2 linked regions of the Anolis sagrei genome follow. The protein of the gene in region 2 interacts with the protein of the main gene of each other region in a pairwise test. Links are inferred from orthologs where the notes say so. Each region holds a gene or a part of one and is shown on either strand. Other genes may lie near its edges.

Region 1 (7,700 bases), on a different chromosome or scaffold from region 2:
TTCCTCCAATGGGTCATCACTTAACACACGAGTCTCTCATTCCCATGTATTTTCGCGATGCAGGTTTGTCTAGGGCTCATGACTGGTCCAAGGTGACCAAGCAAGCAAGCTTCATGGGCAAGTGGGGATTTACACTTCATTTTCTCCTAGTCTTATACAATGGTTATTAAATCACACTATGTCCCAATTTCTACTTGATCCAATATTATGAATAAAGTTACTAACAACTTATTATGTGAAATAGTCATTTCTTAGACTGTAGAAGTAGTTAAGATATATAATGCAAATTCCAACTAAAGTGGATTCTAGCACACTACAAAACATTTTAAGGCAGACTTACATAATAATAATAATAATAATAATAATAATAATAATAATACTTTATTTATATTCCACCCTATCTCCCCAAGGGGACTCAAGGCGGATCACAGTACACATACGTGGCAAATATTCAATGCTCTTTGGGCAGACAGGACAGAACAGACAGAAAGGAGGTATGTTGTGCATAAATTCTGAATCTCTGAGAAGTACAGCATCTCTTTAATCCTACAACTTTTACTTGCTCTCTGTGATAGCAAAAAGGAATGAGATGTCTCACATAGCTGTCAAGCCATAGTGCCAGGTCTCTTATATATTTCTTAACACTTTGGGTCACTTTACAATTAAAACAAACTCTTAATTATAAATAAACTTGTTGGATCTTTGAAAACTATTGACTACCTTCAGGCACTTCTCCAAAAATTGCTAATAACTGCACTGCAAACAACTGAATAAAGCACACAAATGTGTTTGTCTACCATCTCTAGCAAAGCAATATATGGGCTATTGAAGTAGTGCATGCTCCAAAAATGGATTGCGTCCCAAGACGGGAGGGAGGACTCTATCACACTACAATGTTGCAGTGTTAGTATTCCACTTTAATTGCCATGGCAACATTTTATGGAATCCTGGGATTTGCAGTTGAGGGAGGGACATTCAGAATTTCCAACCAGAGAGGATTTTAAAATTTTAAATTACAAACTCAAGAATTCCTCTGAATGCTTCCATAGCTGTTTAATAATAGCACTATAACAGTGCAGTGTGATAAGGCCTGAAGGACACGTCACTGTTTCCTCCATAACTGCTAATAATTGTCATGCAACTTGCTGTATTTAGCAGAGATTTATAGCCTTGTTTCAATTTCAAGCTTCACAAAATAGCTATGCAGATAGAACCATATAGGTAAAAGTAAAGGTAAAATTTTCCCCTGACATTAAGTCTGCCTCTGGAGGGTGGTGCTCATCTCAGTTTCTAAGCCAAAAAGCCGGCGTTGTCTGTAGACACCTTCAAGGTCATGTGGCTGGCATAACTGTATAGAGCGCCATTACCTTCCCACCGGAGCAGTACCTATTGATTTACTCACACATGCATGCTTTGGGGGGGGGGGGGGGTGCTCATCTCAATTTCTAAGCCGAAAAGCCGGTGTTGTCCGTAGACACCTTCAAGGTCATGTGGCCGGCATGACTGCATGGAGCACCATTACCTTCCCACCAGAGCAGTACCTATTGATTTACTCACACTTGCATGTTTTTGAACTGCTAGATTGGCAAAAGCTGGGGCTAACAGCAGGAGCTCACGCCACTCCCTGAATTCGAATTGCCAACGTTTTAGTCAGCAAGTTAATCAATTCAGCAGTTTAACATGCTGCACCACCGTGGGGTCCCATATATCACACAGTAATTCCCTAGAAACTGAAATCAGTGATCAAGTCTTTCAAAACTCTAATAAGTAAGAATTTGTGTCCTATATACTCCTATATATCATAGAATCATAGAATCAAAGAGTTGGAAGAGACCTCATGGGCCATCCAGTCCAACCCCCTGCCAAGAAGCAGGAATATTGCATTCAAATCACCCCTGACAAATGGCCATCCAGCCTCTGCTTAAAAGCTTCCAAAGAAGGAGCCTCCACCACACTCCGGGGCAGAGAGTTCCACTGCTGAACGGCTCTCACAGTCAGGAAGTTCTTCCTAATGTTCAGATGGAATACCATATATACATAAAATGAAACAATGTAATAAACACTAATAGAAAATTGTCTGGGCACACTTGTCCAGATTTATCCACAGAGAATGTAACATTGTTGTTATTCCTCAACTACCAAAACACATCAGAAAAAGAGGCAAGGAAAGCCTCTTCCATACATGCACCAACAGCTTAACTGTAGACAACAGCAATTTCTCTACACATAAAAGACAAACCTCTGATTGATATCCTTTACAAATATGCATCTGCACAATCCCAGCTACTTAACATCAGATTACAAACATGCACAATTGCCTGCATTTATCTGATAAGAAGCAAAATTCGACTCCCATTACACATTAAAAAATATTTATGATTGAACCATTGTTGATTCAGTCAAATTTTCCAGTTACTAGAGTCTGAACAGCAGTCTTTCTTTCCCAACACCTAAAAAGGCATTTTATAAAAAAAGAGAATTATGTTAAAAAGCAAACATGTCTATTTCTTAAAACGAATGCCTGCTCTTCTTATTCCAGCAGCAAGTTTCTGCTGTTCATTCATAATTCTGAATAGACAGCAAAGAAAAGGAAGTTATTGTTAAAGCACTGGTTTAAATCCTAGAAGTCTTTTTTAAAGCAACAAGGATTGTGACCAGCAAGGATTCCCCTAGCTGGCTTTTGCACTATGTTTGACTTACATTCACAAGGAAGATCTGTAAATCTTTCCATAAGCCTTCCTCAGCCCAAAGATGTCTTGAAGAGTAAAACCAAGGAAGATAGCACAGAGAGAGAGAGACAACATAAAGGCAGGACTGCACAAGCGCCAGGTATTTGTACTTATAAATCCAGGGACTATTTACCCTCCTAAGTAAATAGTTGAGTTAGAGTTTAACTCACCTGTATTAGGAAATGGAAACAGTTCCAAGTATTTTGCTGTGTACTCAAACAACGAAACGAGCTACACCGCCTTCTCCCTGCTCTTCTTGACCTCCCACTGACTTACCTAGACAGGTAAATTCCTCCTCTATCTTTCTTCACTCCACCCTTCTGCTGAGTCTGAACCAATCACATACACTCCCCTAAACTCCTCACTCCAGCTGTTCTCCATAGGAGGAGGAGGCAAGATCAAGGAGTTCCTGACAAATGCTTTACTCAGTTCTAGGTTTTGTCAGTTCAGTGTAGAGCAAAAAGGCAAACATTTTCTATGAACACACTGACACACCCTTACATAGGTACATTTCTTAACGTGAAATGTTTTTGCAATTAAAAGAAGATGCTGCCCTCTGAAGTAGGAAAGAGGGGAAGACAACAATAATAAATCTGCCAAATGTACATCTGTTAGGAAGACAGTTGTATATTTCCCTTGGTCATTGGGGCTTGTCCCCATAAAAAAGGACACGGAACTGATCTTCTCATATATACATACACACTTCAGATCTATTAGAGTTTGCTGTGTAGTGCCAGAGTTTTTCCAGAATGGTTATATGTAATGTGGAACCCTCAATGGCGCAGTGGATCTAAAGGTCGACGGTTCAAATCCGGGAAGCAAGGTAAGCTCTCGCTGTTAGCCCCAGCTTCTGCCAACCTAGCAGTTAAAAAACAGCCAATGTGAGTAGATCAATAGGTACCGCCTTGGCAGGAAGATTTTTGGTTTTTTTTGTGTGTCAGGAGCGACTTAAGAAACTGCAAGTCACTTCTGGTGTGAGAGAATTGGCCGTCTGCAAGGATGTTGCCCAGGGAATGTTTTTGATGTTTTACCATCCTTATGAGAGGGTTCTCTCATGTCCCTGCATGGGGAACCGGAGCTAACAGAGGGAGCTCATCCACGCTCTCCTTGGATTTGAGCCTGTGATCTGTTGGTCTTCAGTCCTGCTAGCACAAGGGTTTAACCCATTGCGCCACTAGGGGCTCCTTGGGGCAGGAAAGTAACGGTGTTCCATGCGGTCATGCTGGCCACATGACCTTGAATGTGTCTATGGACAATGGCTCTTTGGCTTAGAAATGGAAATGAGCACCAACTCCTGGAATTGGACTAGACTTAACGTCGAGGGAAAACATTTACCTTTACTATATGCAATGTTACCTGGCTGTTGCAATACTATGTCTGTTATGTTATAGGACGGCACCTTATGCACATGAAACTATCATAACTAGTAAATGGGATTATAGTTATAGTTTAATAATATTGAAATATCATGACCCCTGAAATTATTATACATGTACAGTGTAAAGACTGCTTGTATTTATTCTAGTGTGCACATTTAGCACTGCTTGTATAGCCTCACATTACTCTAATTTGGCAAGGAAAGTCCTAATTAATTCTCTGCTATCTCAGTTCTTCAGCTGTTTTTAAAATGCTCCAGTTTTCTCTCCCCTCCTTCCAGTTCCCCACTTTATCATCTGCTTATACCAATTCATGCAAATTAAAATGCAAAAGAGGGACACTGTAGAATTAATGCAGTTTGACATCACTTTAACTGCCATGCTCAATGCTACGGAATCCTGCGAATTGTAGCTTAATGAGGCATCAGCCCTATTTGGCAAAGAAGACTAAAATCTTTGTAAAACTACTACTTCCACATTTCCATAGTATTGAATCATGACAATTAATATGTCAAACTGTATTCATTTTACAGTGTAGATGCACACCCAGTAGGTTCAGGCAAAAGGAGAGGCACTGCTACAGCCTCTCCTGAATTATGTATTCTTCCTCATTTATAACTTTTGCCATCCTCACCACATTCTTATGTTACTTGGCCAAGTCTCAACTTTCACCTATGAAATGGTGGGATATGGACCTAAACACCCCAAATGCACCAGCTCTTGTTTGATCTTGGAAGCTAAGAAGGATCAACTTTGGCTAGTACTTGGGTGGAAGACCACCAGTGAATACCAGGTGCTATATTTCAGAGGAAAGAACTAGCAAAACTACATGATTATTCCTTGCCAAAGAAAACCCCATGAAATATATGCAGTCGCCAGAAGCTGACAGGTGACATATATGGATCTGGAAAAGTTTCAGTTCTTACATACCTATCCTATGTACATGTCATTATTTGAAGTCTCATTACAAATTGATAGACTGCAGCTTTAGCTTGCATTGTGCACTAGTGAAGTTCCTGGGAACCAGCCAATATTATCATTGAACAAACAGACTTTCATAACCATTCATTGCAAGATTGAATTCATAGCTGTGGGCAGGAGAGCTTAGGTGCATCTACACTGCAGAATTATTGCCGTTTGACACCGTTTTAACTGCCATGGAGCAATGCTATGGAATTGTGTGAGCTGTATTTTGTTGAAACACCAGTACTATTAAATAGGAAAGGAGAAAGACCATGTAACACTACCTTTCCCATGATTCCATAGCATGCCATTTAGTCATGCCAGTTTAAGGGGTATCAAGCGGCATTAATTCTACTATGTTCAAACACAGTGGTGAGCTTATTCTCTAGGATATAGATATTAGTATTCTCCTTTGGGGCTGTGATGGCTCAGTGGGTTAAACCACTAAGTTGCAGAACTTGCTGACCAGAAGACTGGCAGTTTGAATCCGTGGGATGGGCTGAGCTCTTGTGGTTACCCTCAGCTTCTGCCAACCTAGCAGTTCGAAAACAGTGAAATGTGAGATCAATAGGTATCACTTTGGCGGGAAGGTAATGGCACTCCATGCAGTCATGCCAGCCACATAACCTTGGAGGCGTCTACAGACAATACCAGCTCTTCGGCTTAGAAATTGAGATGAGCACCACTCCCCAGAGTTGGATTCAACTAAGGTTAACGTCTAGGGAAAACCTTTACCTTTTTAAAATTTTCCTTTGCTTGATGGCCAAATTCTAAAGTGAAGAAGATGATCTTCATGTGATATGGAACTGAATCTTACACATGATACAGAACTCTATCTTGCATGTGAAGAGGATTTACACAGTTCCTTGTGATTCAATGCAACGTTTACCACTAAAATGCAATGTAATGGGAATATAATAAGAAAATGGCTTATAGTTAGATATATGGATCAGCTCTCACATTCCAGATATTTCCTTCATTAACCAACTTGGGTTGGGTCCTAAAGATACATCATGTGGCTGAAACTGAAACCATACTGTGACATAATACAATCACATTGCCACAGTTAATGGACTGAATCCCAACCCATGCAGTGCTTCAGCGTTGTTTACGGAGACAGTTGGAAATACTAATGATGAAGGCCAGCACAAGAAATATTGCAGCTGAGGAGGTGTGACAAATGCAACCACTATTTGTGTATCAAGTTTTAGAGAACATAAGACTGGTCACATTATTCTGGATCTGAGGCAAAAAAAGAAATCCTGACATATCTGTTTCTGACAGTAGAAGGAATATAATAATAATGGGCAGTTTACTGTTTTTCCATCGTACCTCCTCATTAGTTGACTGGACAAATCCTGGACAGTGCCGGAAAGCCTGGAAGTAATGTCAGTAGCAGAAAATTCAGTTGTAATAACAGTGGAACTGCCATTGTGATTTAAATAGAAAATTGTGGCTCCAACAAACAGACCTTTAGAATTTCAGTAAGTTCGAGACACTGTGCACAGTAGTTATTTTTTCTTTCCTTTCTTAATGAGTTTTGTATGGAATCAGCAGTTGAAAAGCACAAAAGAATTACAATTTGAAGTTGCCACTATTGTGTATTCAACACAGGATGACCAAAATGAAACTCTTGGAAGTTCCCTGAATCTACAGTGCTATACTCAGTTAGAAATAAGATGCATTTAACTCTGTGAGACTTATTTGTAAGTATGCCTAAACCTGCATTCAGTCCAAGAAACCTAAAGACTTACATATTGAAATTAAAATAAAGTTGTGATGAGCTGTAATTCAATTCCATTATGTGTTATTTACAATAGCAGTTAATTATTTTTTTAGATCCATCCCATTGGTAACACATAGCCTTCCCTGGGAGATCGCGGACACATTTGGGTTGCATCTATACCACATTATCAAACGTAAGGCCCACAGGCTGAATCCAGCCCTCTGCATCATTTTATGTGACCTGTGAGGCTTTCAATGCCAGGCAAATAGTTACATTTATATACGGTGGCTCTTCGAAAGCAACCATAAGACTGATGTGACCCTTGGTAAAAATGATTTTGACACCCCTGATATATACCATAGAATGAATGCAGTTTGGCACTGTTTTAACTGCCATGGCTCAATGCAATGGAATCCTGAGGGTTATAGTTTTATAAGGTCTTTAGCTTTATCTACCCAAAAATGCTGGTACCTCACCAAACTAAAATGCCTAGGATTTCATAGCATTGAGCCATGGCACTTAAATTGGTGTCAAACTGCATTCATTCTACAATGTAGATGCAGCCTTACTTTGTTTTTCGCCAGTTCTCTCAGCCTGTTGCTCTCTCTCCATCCCAAGTAATATTAAACACAGGAAACATATATAATGACATTGCAGTGGTGAAGCAGACGTTGCAACCCATGCCGGTTGGAAAGATCATCTAGGCAACGAAGAACAATGGATTCATGAAACAAGGCAGTTCTTTCTGATCATTCCAACTTGAGAGACTGCCAGGTACTTCAAACAGAGAAGCAAGCTGCCACTATTTTCAGGTACAACAGTTCCTTTCTTCTGGCTTCTCAGGTATTTCATGAGTGTTCGCAGGCACCACCTTCATTTGGCATGTTGTTCTTCTGCATAATTTGT
Region 2 (6,855 bases):
CTGGTGAATCCACTCTGGATCTTCCACAAATATATAAACCCCAGGCAGGAAGCAGGCAGGCTTTGAAGCTGTGAAGCCATTAAATGCTAATCAAAGTAGCCAAATGCAACATTCACACTTGCCTCAAACAGACATGAGTTCTTTCTCCCACCCTGGACCTTCCACAAATATATAAACCCCAGGCAGGAAGCAGGCAGGCTTTGAAGCTGTAAGGCCATTCATGGCTAGTCAAGGCCAAATGCAACATTCACACTTGCTTCAAACAGACAAGAGTTCTTTCTCCCACCCTGGACATCATTCTACAGATATATAAACCCCAGACAGGAAGCAGCCAGGCTTTGAAGCTGTAAGGCCATTCAATGCTAGTCAAGGTGGCCAAATGCAACATTCACACTTGCCTCCAACAGGCAAGAGTTCTTTCTCCCACCCTGAACATTCCACAGATATATAAACCCCAGACAGGAAGCAGCCAGGCTTTGAAGCTGTAAGGCCATTCAATGCTAGTCAAGGTGGCCAATTGCAACATTCACACTTGCCTCAAGCAGACAAGAGTTCTTTCTCCCACCCTGGACCTTCCACAGATATATAAACCTCACTTGCCTAGTTTCCAATATACCTCACAATCTATGAGGATACCTGCCATAGATTTGGCCAAAACGTCAGGAGAGCATGCTTCTGGAATATGGGCATACAGTTTGGAGGAAACTCACAGCAACCCAAATGTTTTCTGGCTCGTGGTTCAAACTATCCAGTAGTATTTAAGATTAGCCATGCCCAAACCTTAATGGGAAATGGGATTCATTGGTGCTGTCACATATCTCAGTGCTGCTGGCCTAGCAAGACGTTTGGGAGACATTCTGAAGTTAATCTATAGCTTCCCCAGTTAACCATACTCCTTCCTCCTCCTGGGCGCCCTTTAATGGTCTGGCCTGCCTTCTTCCAAAGACGGGCATGGCAAGGAAAGAAGGAAGGAAAGAGAGTGGACGTGCTGGGCTCAAAACTCCCCGATCCCAGGAAGAAATCCTTACCCCATGATGGCCAGTGAGACGAGCGTTGTGAGTGTTTTGGATGGATAATTCCTACAAGGATCTTTTGGTTTTTTCCCCGTCCTCTGGCCTTTCCCACTCAATGGTCCGGTGAGCAACGCGGACACTCCTCTTCTCGCCTTCTGCCGTGGTGTGTCTGTCTCTATAGATCCCACGCGAAACCCAGGTGGCCCCACGCGCCTCGGAGGCAGGCTTTTCAAACGCTAGAGTCTACAGGCATGTGGGAGCGGAGCCAGGGGGAGAAGGAAGGAAGGAAAGAAGGAAGGAAGGCTCTCGCTCTCTCTCTCTTTCGGTGCCTACTAGGAAGCCAGTCCGGGAAGCCTCTCCCCCATGGCCTCGGGGCTGCCCCTGCCTTGTCCTGCAGCGTGGGGTCCAGGGGCAGCTCCAGCTCCTCGCCAAGGAGGAGGAGGAGGAAGAGGAGGAGGAAGAAATCCCCTCCTTCTGCGGGGAGAAGGAGGAGGAGGAGGAGAGGCGCGCTCCTGCTCTCTCTTCTTATCGGCGAGGATTAGCAGCCCAGATGCTGCCTCCAGCAGTCAGCCAGCTAGCCAGGCAGTCAGTCAGTCAGTCCTCTGGCCCGGGAGGCGCTCCTTCTCCTCCTCCACCACCGCCGCCGCCTTTCCTCCGGCGCAGCGCGGGATCCGGGGGCTTGCGGTGTGCGCAGCGCCGCCCTTCTTCTTCTTCCTCCTCCTCCTCCTAACACCCCCGCCAGCACCAGCAGCAGCGGCATGGGGGGTGTCGCTTCATTTTCCCAGGCAGGAGCAGCAGCAGCAGCGGCAGCAGAGGGAGGAAGAGGAAAAGGAAGCCGTTCCGCCGGCGCTGACATCGGGCTCCGGGAGGAAAAGAGAGAGAAGCGGCGGCGGCTGCAAGGCACTAGCCGCTCATCCCCTGCGCCAGGGATGGATGGAGGGACGAGTGGGGAAGGCTACACTGGGGGAGGAGGAGGAGGAAAAAGGGGAGGAGGAAAAGGGAAGAGGAGGAGGAGGAGGCGGCTCCTTATCCCGGCGTCGCCTGCTTCATTCACGCCTGTCCCCGCAGTGGGTCTGCCATCTGCTCGGACGGGGAAGGAGGCAGGCGCACATTCATCATTCCCAGCAGAAAGGGAGGAGGAGGAGAAGGAGGAGGAGGAGGAAGAAGAGGAGGAGGAGGAAAAGGAGGAGGAGGAAGAGGAGAAGGAGGAAGAGAGGAGGAAAAGGAGAAGGAGGAGGAGAAGGACGAAGAGGAGGGAGAGGAAGAGAAGGAGGAGAGGAAGAGGAGAAGGAGGACGAGAGGAGGAAGAGAAGGAGGAGAGGGGAAGGAAGAGGACAAGAGGGGGGGAGGACGATGAGGAGGAGAAGAAGAGGAGGGGAGGAAAGGAGAAGGAGGAAGAGAAGGGGGAGGAGGAAGAGAAGGAAGAGGATTAGAGGGAGGAAGGGGAAGAAGAGAAGGAGAGGAGGAGGAGGAGTGGCACCGAAGCAGCAGCAGAAGGGCCAAATCCGCTGCGGAGAGGGCAGGGGGAAGGCGGAGGCGCAGGCAGAGGAGGAGGAGGCGCCTTTCCCGCTCGCTGTGCAGAGCCCGGGGTCAACCCGTGGCGCCTGCTCCTGCTCCTCCTCTTCTTCACACCTTCCTTGCTCGGCTCTGCCTTCTCCCGCTCCTCTCCGGCTCTTGCCCTCCGCTTCTCGGCCCTCTCCCACCGCGGGGAGAGGAAGGCAGGGGCAGCGAGGCTGGAAGGGGCGCCCAAGCTAGCTGCCCGTTTCCTCCTCCTCCTCCTCCCTCTCTCCCACCCACCGCGGGGAAAGGCAGGGGCTAAGGCTGGAAGGGGAGCCCTGCTGGTCCCGAGAGGCTGCGCCGCTCAACGCTCCCCCTCTCTCTGTCTCTCTGCCTGTCGTTCTCTGTGCCTGGCTCTACTCCACAGCGACGCTGTCAGGAGCACCTGCTTCCTCTGCCTCCATCCTCCGCTCGGGGGACCTTTAAGTAAGGAGACGTCACCACGCTCCCCTACGCACCCGGCGTCACCCACTCCGCTCCCGGCGCTGACGTCACCGGGGTGCGGGGGATGATGTCAGAGTGGTCCACGCCGCCGGAAGCGGGGCTATAATAGGGAAGGCGGAGGGGAAGGCGAGCCGAGCCCCCCTCCGCAGTTCCCCCGCAAGGAAACCAAATAGAGTGCATGCCCAGGAACCCAGGGCTTGCCTCTTCCTCGGTAACGTAACTTTGCAAAATGGGGAAGGCAGCGTGGGGAACGAAAACACATACACACAAACACACACACTGCTTTCCTCCATTGAACATCGAGAAAACCAAAGTGCTCTTCCAGCAGTCACCAGCCAATCACTCTCCAATGCCAGAAATACAGCTTAATGGTGTAACATTAGAAAATGTTGACCATTTCCAATACCTTGGCAGCCACCTTTCCACCAAAGTCAACATTGACACCGAAATACAACACCGCCTGAGCTCTGCGAGTGCAGCTTTTTTCCGAATGAAGCAGAGAGTGTTTGAGGACCGGGACATCAGTAGGGATACCAAGGTGCTTGTCTATAAAGCTACTAGCTGTACCCTGCCACGCATTGCTGTGGCCTATAGTAAGAATTTTCGAAGTAGAGGTAGATATCTGGACTGTTATGAAAGAGAGGTACCTACCTATTCCTTCCCCCTTTTTCTTCCCTTTTCTCTCCTTTCTTCCTTCTCTACCTCTTTCTTTCATTCCTTCTTTCACTCTTTGGTTTCCTCCCTTCCCTCCTTTCTCTACTTCCTTTGTCTCCTTTCTTCCCTCCCTGTTTCCATCCTTCTTTCACTTTTTATTTCCTTTTCTCCTTCCTTCCTTCTTTACCTCTTTCCTTCCCCCCCCTTCCCTTTTTCTTTCCTTACTACTTTCTCTTCTTCCTTCCTTCAGCACCTTTCTTTCCTTCCTTCTCTCCTTCCTTCTCTCTTTCCTTCCTTCCCCCTTTCCCTCCTTCATTCCTTCCCCTTTTCCCTTCCTCCTTTCTTCTCTCCTTCCTTCCTGTCTCTTCTCGCTCAATACCATGGTAGAGTCTCTTCTAAGTCTATTCTATGAGTCTATTTAATATAGTATTATATAGTAGTAACATTATATTATATAGTACTAGCTGTCGCCTGCCATGCGTTGCTGTGGCCCAATCTGTGTATATGTGTTGTGTGTGTGTGTACATATGTATGTATTGTGTGCATGTATATTTGTGTATATGTGTGTGTTTGCATTTATATATGTGGTTTTGCACATGCGTTGTAATGTATTTTTTATTTTTTGGCTTTTTAAGTCTTCTGCTGTGTTTTTCAGTGTTTTTATGAGTGATGGTCACTCCTTGGTCTGACTTTGGGTGCATCTACACTGTTGATTTAATAAAGGAGAATGAAGCTGGTGAGGGGAGGAGAAAAGGAAGGAAAGAAAGGGAGGAAGGGAAGGGAGGTAAGGAGAAGGAAGGGAAGTAGGGAAGGGAGGGAAGGAAGGGGTTGGACCTGATGGCCTTTAGGGCTCCCTTCCAACTGGTTGGTCATCTGTTATGAGGGCTTTGATGGTGTCTTCCTTTACTGCCAAATGAGGTTGGGCTGGATGGTCTTTAGAGCTCCTTTCCAAGCAATGTCAGTTTCGTGTGTAGCTGTAGAATTTGAAGAGGCATGAATGGAGGGCAAAATGGCACCTTCCTCCTTCCCTTTTCCTTTGGAAGTGTGTGTGTGGGAGACAGAGTCAGAATGTGTGCACAGAGTGTGGCATGCCTCCCTCTTTTTTCCTTCCCCCCTCTCTCTCCTCCTCCCCTCCTCCTTCTCCTCAGCTTCTGCCCTTTGATCCTTTGCCTTAGTGTTAGTTAGGGGCTGAGAGACACACAGGGAGCAGCAACCATTGCCACCCCTGCTGCTTTGGAACCCTCATTCTGTGTTCTCAGCGTGAGGGGGGCAGGGGAGGTGTGTTGTCTTCTTCCTTTTTTTAATTTAAAGGTGTTTTGTGGGGTTTTTTTTCAGTGATGGTCACTCCTTGGATTGTGAGAAATTTTGTTGCCAAATTTGGGGTCATTTGGCCCTGTAGTTTTTTTTTGTTTTTAAGGTACTCATTATTCACAGAGCATTTATATATAGGTAGATTGTCCTCCCAACCCTGTTATACGCCTACGAAACGTGGACTCTCTACAGACATCACATGCAACTCCTGGAACAATTCCATCAGTGCTGCCTCTGGAAAATCCTGCAAATCTCTTGGGAAGACAGGCACAATTAATACTTTTTGATACCACTTTAACTGCCATGGCTCAATGCTATAGAATCCTAGCATTTGTGGTTTGGTGGGACGACAGCACTGTTTGATGTGGTAGATAAGGGGTTTCCCCTGACATTAAATCCAGTCGTGTCCAACTCTGGGGGTTGGTGCACATCTCCATTTCTAAGCCGAAGAGCCGACATTGTCTGTAGATGCCTCCAAAGTCATGTGGCTGGCATGACTACACGGAGCGCCTTTACCTTCCCGCCAGAATGGTTCCTATTTATCTACTCACATTTGCATGTTTTCAAACTGCTTAGTTGGCAGAAGTTGGGGCTGACAGTGGAAGCTCACGCCACTTACCGGATTTGAACCTGTAACCTTTCGGTCAACAAGCTGAGCAGCTCAGCAGTTTAACCCACTGCATCACTGGGGGCTCCTTGTGTTGCTAAAGTTGTAAAATTACAACTCTCATGATTCCATAGTATTGAATCATAGCTACATTAATTCTGAGCAGATGCAATTTGCGATGCTGGAGACCAAACCAGAAATCCCATGACTCCATAGCATTGATCCATGGCAGTTACAGTGGTACCAACCTGCATTAATTCTTCTGAGCAGATGCAATTTGTGAAGCTGGAGACCAAACAAGAAATCCCATGACTGCATAGCATTGGCCAAACTACATTAATTCTTCTGTGACTCTGGAGATCAAATCCCCACTAGATGATTTTGTGTAAGTCACATGCTCTCAGCCCAATCTGAACGAGTATTACCAAAAGACCATGACAGGCAGGCCCGTAGCCAGGATTTTGATTCGGGGGGGGGGGGGGGGGCTGAGTTTGATTCGGGGTGGGGGGGGGCTGAGTCTGAGTGAAAGAGGGTCTACCCTAGCAAACTTTTTGTATCGTTACCCCAATACCCCCATGCATATGAGATATATTGAGCATAGTGATCAGATCATGATATGAATAAACATAACAGTTTGAATAATATACCAGTAAGGCCTTCTCGCAGACCAACATGAGAATTTAGTGAAGCCCCTCAAGCCCCCCCCCCCCCCCCCCCCCCGCAGCTACATGCCTGATTATAGGTTTGCCTGAAGGCTATCACAAGTCAGAAACAAATTGAAAGCACACAATAATAACAAGTAAAACAACCAATTCTTTAAAATTAAACTTTGGAGATGAGTGCCATTCAGGTTTTCCTTCCTGTGCTTCAGTGGTTTCCTTTCAGCGGAGGTAAATTCATTGCTCACTCTTTTCCTCTTGCGGATATTTGATGGCTGACATTATCCATTCTTTGCCCACATTTACCCTTCTGTGGTGCTGTTTAATTAATATACTCCTGTCTGATTGAATCTTGTAATGTCTCAGTTTACATATAAGACACGAAGCCTAACCGCCTCAACTGCCATTCTCATGGAAACCAGTCCAGAACCTTTTTCACTCCAGAAGCACAGAAAAAGGACATAATTTTCACAACCCAACTTGTTTCAGGTGAATTAAGGAAAATGCCCAAGTTGTCTTTATAAACATTATGACTCCAAATGGGAAGGAGATGGTTTTACTTAACTTCAGGACTCTGAGTCCTGATTACCTAATGAAAGCTAAAATGTCT

The links.
Region 1: the proteins of HOMER1 (region 2) and C4H1orf116 interact in binary tests that used the Homo sapiens proteins (3 or more experiments, as listed by UniProt). The link is inferred for Anolis sagrei from reciprocal best matches to the Homo sapiens genes HOMER1 and C1orf116.

Annotation. Positions count from the first base shown.
Region 1 is NC_090024.1:196,183,423-196,191,122, forward strand, and holds the start of C4H1orf116 (specifically androgen-regulated gene protein), read right to left. Parts: upstream 3,013-7,700; 5' UTR 2,900-3,012; intron 2,825-2,899; exon of another isoform or gene 2,701-2,824; intron 1-2,700. UniProt on the Homo sapiens protein: Putative androgen-specific receptor.
Region 2 is NC_090022.1:266,017,407-266,024,261, forward strand, and holds the start of HOMER1 (homer protein homolog 1), read right to left. Parts: upstream 3,019-6,855; 5' UTR 1,034-3,018; coding exon 1,029-1,033; intron 1-1,028. UniProt on the Homo sapiens protein: Postsynaptic density scaffolding protein. Binds and cross-links cytoplasmic regions of GRM1, GRM5, ITPR1, DNM3, RYR1, RYR2, SHANK1 and SHANK3.